Linked DNA regions of Nothobranchius furzeri. The protein of the gene in region 2 interacts with the protein of the main gene of each other region in a biochemical or structural test. Links are inferred from orthologs where the notes say so. Each region holds a gene or a part of one and is shown on either strand. Other genes may lie near its edges.

What was found.
Region 1: the proteins of tcerg1b (region 2) and splicing factor U2AF 65 kDa subunit form a complex in vitro, tested with the Homo sapiens proteins (2 studies listed by BioGRID). The link is inferred for Nothobranchius furzeri from reciprocal best matches to the Homo sapiens genes TCERG1 and U2AF2.

What each region holds. Positions count from the first base shown.
Region 1 is NC_091745.1:76,203,614-76,208,764, forward strand, and holds the start of splicing factor U2AF 65 kDa subunit, read left to right. Parts: upstream 1-1,948; 5' UTR 1,949-2,170; coding exon 2,171-2,219; intron 2,220-3,287; coding exon 3,288-3,429; intron 3,430-5,151. Other genes in the region: ccdc106a (coiled-coil domain-containing protein 106a), read left to right, coding at 1-173. UniProt on the Homo sapiens protein: Plays a role in pre-mRNA splicing and 3'-end processing. By recruiting PRPF19 and the PRP19C/Prp19 complex/NTC/Nineteen complex to the RNA polymerase II C-terminal domain (CTD), and thereby pre-mRNA, may couple transcription to splicing.
Region 2 is NC_091750.1:56,768,489-56,772,025, reverse strand, and holds the end of tcerg1b (transcription elongation regulator 1), read left to right. Parts: intron 1-42; coding exon 43-207; intron 208-872; coding exon 873-1,055; intron 1,056-1,146; coding exon 1,147-1,326; intron 1,327-1,460; coding exon 1,461-1,544; intron 1,545-1,640; coding exon 1,641-1,741; intron 1,742-1,940; coding exon 1,941-2,142; 3' UTR 2,143-2,650; downstream 2,651-3,537. Other genes in the region: prenylcysteine oxidase-like, read left to right, coding at 3,272-3,380. UniProt on the Homo sapiens protein: Transcription factor that binds RNA polymerase II and inhibits the elongation of transcripts from target promoters. Regulates transcription elongation in a TATA box-dependent manner.

The DNA.
Region 1 (5,151 bases), on a different chromosome or scaffold from region 2:
TAGTGGCGCCAGAGAAAGTGGTCGAGGTGGGGGAGTTTGACCCGTCCAAGGAAAAACTGCTGGACTACGCCAGGCGCTGCTACATTGCTCTGGATGAAGAGACACTCAGCAGAGTGCAGGCATTAAAGAAGAATAACCTTCTGCTTCCCATCTCCTACAGGTTTAGGCACTGAGTTAAGAGAAAACGGTTCTGCTGAAGGCAGCTCTCAAATGACTAAAGTACAACTGAGATGCTTTACTTTATGAGTGACATTTGACTTCTGACATAATCTATCAACACTTTCTTGTTTGTCTGACAAATGTTAAATAAAACATTGGGTACCACTTGTGTCTGGAAGGAGAAAGGAGGGTCTTACAATTGAGAGCAATATCTTTTTGGTGTCATTTCAGATGATTAACTAGGAAAGTTTTTTTTTTCTATAATTGTGGAAAACGCTCCTTTTACCAGTAACTGGTTCACCCACGTTGCTCAACTGTGTATTTAGTAGAGTGAACATAAACATTTTAATTTTAATTATTCCTTTTATAAACATTTTTCTCAGTTTAAAGCCAGTTCACTCACTACTGTGATTTTTACAGCTTTTAAAAGTTCACATATTAATGTTCCTATTACATTGTGTGATGTATTGAAATCCACCTGTAAGCTTTTTACTTTATTTTTTCTGTTGTGAACTTAATGTTTATTTAAAAAAATCCCTGTTAATAGATTAAATCTTCATTACAGTTTTTTCTTGCCTTAATCAGAATTTGTATGTTCTTGTAATAAGAGAAACATTCAAATTCCCCTTACCGTTTCATTAATTTCATTTTAAAAAACTATTAAAACAAATCACTTGCAGTATTTTGTGGTACAGATGCACTTTTGAGAGCATGGCACATCTGAAAATAAAATTTATTTTCATTTTTAAATCAATTTAAACAGAATGTGATGACATTCTAGGTAACATTGTGATTGATGCAATTTGCTTTTCTGACTGCATAACTTGTTCCACTGAAGCCTTCCTTCTAAACAGTTTTGGATTATGTGACTAGGTGTCTAAATAGAACCTTTTGTAAACTATGACTGTCTTTTGCCACAAAGCGAACATTTTCTTGTGAAAATCATTGAACGTACACATGTTTTACATTTTGAGAATTAACTAAATTAGATTGACAGTAACTGTTTTCACTGTCTGAAACTGTTTTCACTCCCAAGAATAACACCAGTGAAATATCACTAAAGCAATTATGTTCCTACAAAAATGTGAGTTTTATCAGTAAAATTCAACACTACCCCTCACAGAGGTGAGAATGCAAATGATTCATTCAAAGTACGTAAAATAGTACAATAAAATTCTTGTTTTCTTAAAACGCGTTTTTCTAAAGGTCATTATTTTCAGCATATACATGTGGTCTTGTGACACATAAGCTGTTGTCTGCCTTATTATGACTTGATAAATACACATTAATATGTGCTGAATGTGATTTTTTGAGTGTCTATTTAAAATTTTAAACAATAGTGTGGTCACTAAATCAAAAGTACTTGTAAACTTTCAGTTTACCAGTTTGCAACAGCTGATAAGTTTTTTGCCAGGACGCAATAATCTGGAGAGAATGAATAAAGTGTCTTATGGTGATCGATTTGACGGACAGGGTTGAAGCTCTTATTCTTTAAACGGAAATTTAGCAAGCATCAACTTCCGGTGTCAGGGGCTACTTGCTTAAGGGAGCAAAAGAAGCGGGCGTACCGAAATCTTTGTTGATTCATGGACTCTTAGATTTCTTGATAGCGTATATTTTTGGTTTATAGAGTTATGCAAGTGCTCCTCGTGGGCTAGTGGTCCTCTTGGATTTGCATCTTGCTTGGGGGAAACTCATTAATTCGGCACTCGTAACGGGCCTTTTCTTCTGGTCTTAGCTAATGTTAGCAGGCTAGCACGAGCACGTTTTTGTTTCTTAAGATTTTTCTCTTTTACGTTGTAAAATATACCACACTGCTAATTTGTAAACCCCTTTTTAACTTTTGATATTTTACTGTCACCAAAGGTGTTACCAGAGGCGAACTAACTAAAGCGGTGTAGGCGAATAGTATTGGTATTTTAAAGTGTTGTTCACCTTGTTGCTAGCTTAAGCTAGCTTCCGCCGACTGAACAACGCATCCCCTGAAAGCGTAACAGGCTTCAACCCAGAAATGTCGGACTACGACGAATTCGAAAGACAGCTATCTGAAAATAAACAAGGTAAATAAAACATTTTTATATAAAATATAAAGAAAAACACTCGAATGGAGTTGAATAGTCGCCATTGGATTTACTGTCCGTGGGTATGTCTATTTACAGGGGTTGGCTCATTATTAGGACGTAGCCTTAAAACATCTAACGTGCGAACTAATTCAGACTAACATTTTTTATTTTTTCCCTCTAGTGTCAATGTCTATGGAAGCGGCAAGCTACGTTTGACAATTGATAAATTCATTGTAAAAGTTAAAAAGTAAAGCTGGGCCTGACTAAAACATGGTGCTCGTCGTCCTACGAGGAGTACTTTACATTCATTTGGTAGTGGTGTAGTTGACAGGGAACACTAAAGTGCTGTTTGCTGATTTGTTATTACATCTCATTTCAGAATAAGTCAATTGCGTCTTAAACAAACGCTAATTTAGCGACTTGACCTAAAAAGATCTTTGCAATCAGGGCCGCTTGGTTGTCGTACAGACAACGAGCTAAATGTTGTAACTTTTACATTTAGCTAGTAATAACATCAAATTGTAGACATTATCATCTACTATTAATAATAAAAAGTAATATTTACTAATTGTAAGGTTTTCGATTGTTTTTTAATTATGTTGTTTGAGCCATAATTAGTAACATTTCTAGAATGATTTTAGTAGTTTAGAGTTGTCACGATGATTAGCAAATTAATTATATTTAGTTTATTATAAAAACACAAGAGGGTATTTTTGTACAATTATTTTGGCAGTAATTGATTATAATGCAAAGATGAAATGTGTATTTTAAGATATTTCCCAACACCTTTTGTACCCTAATATGTCCAACCTGCCCACGCACTTGTTATTTTAGATGTAACACAACAATGACAATACCAGGTGCTCTTAGGGTTTAGTTGTTCACTGAGTAATTGTAAGTTTCCATTTTGTTGCTGTATATTATTGTAATTATCCCAATTTCCACCCAAAACAAAATAACTTTCCTGCCTTTAGGAGATACAAGCTTTGACTTCGTATTTTCATATCTGGGCATTCTATAAATGTCAGGCACTTCTGTTGGTTTACAAGATCTTTATCCCTGCAGCTGAAAGGGACAAGGAGAACCGTCATCACCGTCGGTCCTCGTCCCGCAGTCGTAGCAGAGAGAGGAAAAGGAGGAGCAGAGACAGGGACAGACGCAGCAGGGACCGCCGTGGAGACAGTAAGGAGCGGAGACACCGGCGCAGGTTTGTAGCAGTTTATGATGGCGACAACAAACTGTAAAACCTTTATCCTGTCATGAAATTTAAACTGACACAGTGACCACTACAGTCAGATATGAGACGTGTTGATGAAGCATATAAATAGCTACTGGTGCTTGTGCAAAAGTCGGTATTTAAAGTGATATGACTACATATCTCTAAAGTACAGCACATGTCTGGAGTTTGTTTTAATTCACTAATTTATACAAAAAAAAACATTTTTTTTTCTTTGCTCAACAGAAAACAATTATAACACTAGTTTGTCACTTGAATAAATGCACAGGGGCACAGAAAATGAATGTGTTTTAAGTTAAAGATGAAAAGGTCTCTAATTATTCTGGTCAAGAACTCAAACAAGGTGGTATTTCTGCAGTGTTTTCTCTGTATTTTATTTTCACTCTGCTCTTAACTCTTAATTTGGATGTTACTTGAAAAATCGCTTAGTTACTGTTTAATACAGGGTTTTGAACGGTTATTTTTGTCTATTTTCCCCAAAACACATAGCAACAGCTGCTAATAGGGTTGTCACGGTATGAAAATTTAACCTCACGGTTATTGTGACCAAAATTATCACGGTTTTCGGTATTATCGCTGTATTTTTTAAACGGTGTTGCATATGTTCAGAAAGCATTGATAGTCCTGTTCTACACAAACTGAAATAGTTCTGAAAAGGTTTAACAGTGTTTATTAAACCTAAAATAACACAAAGTCTTAGCAAAAGTGCAACTTTTCACAAGTAAAGGAACAAATAGCTTCTTTTTCTGGAACATGTTACAGTAGTCAGTGCAGGTTTAAATTATACAAATCCAAACATTCAAACCATAAACAATATGTAAACAAATCAAAGAAACACCACTTGTTTTCTCATATACTTGTTTTCTTCATTATCAAAATGAAAATCTAAAACTCCAGTCCACACTTGACTTGAGCACTGTACAAGTCAACCTTAAAAAATATGTATTTAAAATAAATAGCCACTTTAAACAAATTACTAAAATAACTACTACACTGTGTAATCAAATCCAAATGTTCAAGTATAAATGGCATTGAATAAGTAAACAAATCAATGACAAGGAACTAATTGTATATTTCTCTTCATCATCAACAAATAAGATGCTTCATCCAGCAACAGGGTGTCCGTGACACGGTTTAAATGCTGGCAGAGGACGCTGCGGCTGCAGTATATAGTGACTCGTTGCATTCTCCCTCAACCAAAAGTCCTCACGTCATGCATTTAAGCTAAAACGCTAATGTTAACTTACCTTGCACTGGCTGTAGAGACGTGGGTGATGGTCACGCAGATGTGCCATTAGATTCGAAGTGTTGCTGCCTTTTGCAGACACTTGTTTCCTGCACGTTCTGCAAACGGGATAGCCGTCTTCTATTAACTGTCCCTCAGCATTTTTCAGAAATCCAAAATATGCCCATACTTCCGATTTAGTCTTCTTTGAGGGCTGATGGATGTCCTGGGCGCTGCCGTCTCCTCCTTCGGCCATTATTTCAGCTTCAAAGTTTTGGTGCCGTTGCAAACTAAAAAGTGCGTGTGCGCGCCGCGGGAACTTCAGCTGAAGCGACGGTGGCTGGTAAGGGTCACCACGCCGAAACCGCGGCCACGGTAAACCCACCGAGATAATTTAGTTTTTTTAAAAACTGGACGGTTATTTTTATTGTCAACATTTTTATCGGGGTTTACCGCTATACCGGTTA
Region 2 (3,537 bases):
ATTTGGAAATGATTCATAATGGAGTTCTTTGTCCTGTTTCAGGTGAAACAAGACTTCTACGACCTCCTGAGCGAGCAGCACATAGAGGGAAGTCAGCGATGGAGCAAAGTGAAGGATAGAGTAGAGACGGATCCACGGTACAAGGCTGTAGAGAGTTCTGCACTCAGAGAAGAACTTTTTAAGCAGTTCTTGGAAAAACAAGCCAAGGTAGGATCTGATAAAAGGGCGAAGCCCTCGTCCTGCAATTCCACTGGCATGTACGCGGCGCGTAACATCAGCGAAGAGTAATACTCGGCTAGCTCCGCCGTCGTAGTCGACGGGTGTGTTTCCAGTGACGTGTCCCAGAAGCGTAGTGTCGAGTTGCTTCGGATCCCTATATTAATATGCTACGCTTCCAGAACATGTCAAGCTCGGCAGCTCAGATTGGGCCGGACAGGAAGTTGCACACAAAAGCAGTGTGAAACTTCCAGGAACTTTCAAAATAATGTTGCTTTACTTGTACAAAAAAGTACATCATTACCTGTGACACCTCCAAGGCCAAAGTAAAAATAACGGGTTTGTGCTGCCATCTTTCTTCTGAACTGCCGAAATCACGCGTGAGCTCTGGTGATATAATGACCTGCGTGGAACGCATTTGCTGCCAGTGCGCATCTGAAATGCTTCCTGTAGGAGAGACACACTGCTGAGCTAGCAGGAAACGCACGTCTGTTACGTTAAGCGCCGCTAACGCGTCTGGTGGAAAGCCCGGGTTGATTTGACTAAAAAAAGCTGTTCTGTTACTCCTGGAACAATTTTGTAAAACCGTTTGTGTGTCCTGCTCTGCTACCAGTACCAAGTGCAAACTCAAAAAGTCGACATGTATTTTCTCACAGAATGTGGACATTGACAAGGAGCGAGAGCTGGAGCGGCAGGCTCGTATCGAAGCCAGCCTCCGGGAGAGGGAGCGGGAGGTCCAGAAGGCCAGATCGGAACAAACCAAAGAGATCGACCGAGAAAGGGAGCAGCACAAGAGGGAGGAGGCCATCCAGAATTTCAAAGCTCTCATGTCCGATATGGTGAGATGCTCCTCGGTTTCTGTTGTTGCCTGGTGGAGGATTCTGTAGTCGCAACAAAAAGACCCAATCCACGTTTCTGTTGTCTCCTCAGGTACGTTCTTCAGATGCAGCGTGGTCAGATACTCGCCGCAACCTGCGGAAGGACCACCGCTGGGAGTCTGCCTCCCTTCTGGAGAGAGAGGAGAAGGAGAAGCTGTTTAATGAACACGTGGAAGCACTGGCCAAGAAGAAGAAGGAGCAGTTCAGACAGCTGCTGGATGAGACCATCACGGTGAGAAGTAAAACAAAAACATGTAAAAACATTTCAAAAGGCTGAGTGACTCGTTTAGTCAGCTTCAGTTCCTCACACATGCATGAGCTTGGTTATAGTTTATAAGTGTGTGTGTGTGTGTGCGCGCGTTATAGATCACTTTGACAACTACATGGAAGGAAGTGAAGAAGGTCATCAAGGACGACCCACGATGTATTAAATTTTCCTCCAGTGACCGAGTAAGACTATTTTTGTAGGTCGTGAACTTTTCTAAGTAGAGTGAACCTTACCATGTAGCAACTCCTGTCATTTGGATGTGTTTGTTGTTTTTGTAGAAGAGGCAGCGAGAGTTTGAAGACTACATCAAGGACAAATACATCACCGCCAAGGCCGACTTCAGAACTCTACTAAAGGAGACTAAATTCATCACATACAGGTCTGTGCATCCATCAGGCGATTTGGAAAAGAAGTTGAACCCTTTTAAGATTGTGTTGTTGCCCCAAATGTATTATTCGAGCCGAGAAATGGTCCAAGTTGCATCCTGTTACTTTAAAACGTCTGTTTAAAAGACGAGAGGAAGTTTCCCTGTTACGGAGGTTGTTCTGATCACCTCTGACGTCTTGTTCGTCTTCCAGGTCAAGAAAGCTGATCCAGGAGTCAGAGCAGCATCTGAAAGATGTGGAGAAGATCCTTCAGAATGACAAACGCTATCTGGTTCTGGACTGTGTCCCAGAGGAACGCAGGAAGCTCATCATGTTCTACATTGAAGATTTGGACCGCCGTGGCCCGCCGCCTCCACCCACTGCCTCAGAGCCAACCCGACGCTCTACAAAGTGACCAACCTCAACAACTTCATGGCCAATGCCCCTCCCTGCCCTCCCTTTGGTCAGAGCATGATGTCTCCTCAGCACCCCCTGAACCCCAGCCTCCAGGCTGGCTTTACAGTGTTACTGCTGAGGGTTCACTTGGTTAGAGATGAACGGTTAAGGTCTCTGTCATGTCACCTTTTAGCCCTTCTTTTCAAGAAACGGCAGACAAGAGGTTTACCTGGTGGCCCATGACCTTTGACACATATTAGAGGGAGGCAAAGTGATGAGGCTGTTGTTTGAACAGTCACACAGATGTAAGATATCTGATGTAAATGAAGATGTGTGGGTGTGTATGGTGCACGCACGTTTAAATATGTGCATTTGTTAAAGGCGTCCTTAAAGCCTTACAGCTCCACTGTGCCAGTCACTGTTTCTGATGGCTCAGTGTGAATGTTAGTTTCTGCTCAGTGGTTTATTCCAGCGTCGCTGCAGTTTTTCTGTTAAATGAAATAAAAGCATCTTCCACTGTTTTTCAATACGGTTTATTGTGTTGTCATTTGGCACAGTGATACATTTACCAGTTTATGTAAACATTGCATTGACTGTAAAATGCACCACTAAATAATAAAATGCAAAAACGTACCGAGAGTATTCATACAAAGAAGCGTTTACTGTGCCTGCAGGGCAGGCAGATGTTTGAATCACGTGGTGTCGGCGGAAGTTATTGATCGTTCGTTTTAGGGCTGCGCTCATTTTATACAGCTTCACTAAATAGAAGGACGAGGCTTCACCTTAAAATGTGCGGTTTGATAAGTGAAACTATGCATTCTGTATATAATTATGTTCAAGGTAACTTGACAATGAGTAAAAAATACAATGGTCATACCTTGGTCTAAGTACAGACTCCGCCTACACGGCTCATCGCTAAGTGCCCCGTGGTATAAAAAGTGTAGACCCCACTGAAATTGTTCTGCATCATCAAACCCATCAGCTAACCTTTAGAGCTTCATCTTGTTAAATTCACTTTTTGTTTGTTATTGTCGTCAGTTGAAACCTATCTATGTGCAGTTTTTAGTTATTTTTAAGCGTATGGAGGACTGGAGCTAACGGGAACCTAACGTAGCTAACCTCTTTCAGTAAAGGTAGTTGTAGCCGCCATGGGCGGCTTCCAGCTCTTGGTCTTCGCAGTTGTTGCAACAATAGTTTGGTCGGCTGCTGGAGAACCAGAGGCATTCCATGTTGATGGAGCTCCGCCCTCAAAAATTGGTAAAATGAGTTGCACGTTTATTTAAAAACACATGAAAGCAAAGAAGCTAAATCAAGCTTATGCTAGCGAGCAAGATGCGGCGTTCAGGGTCTCGTTATTTCGCTTTGTTTAGCAGAAACTGCATTCCTGCTAGATGTCGGGGTGTTTCTATCTACT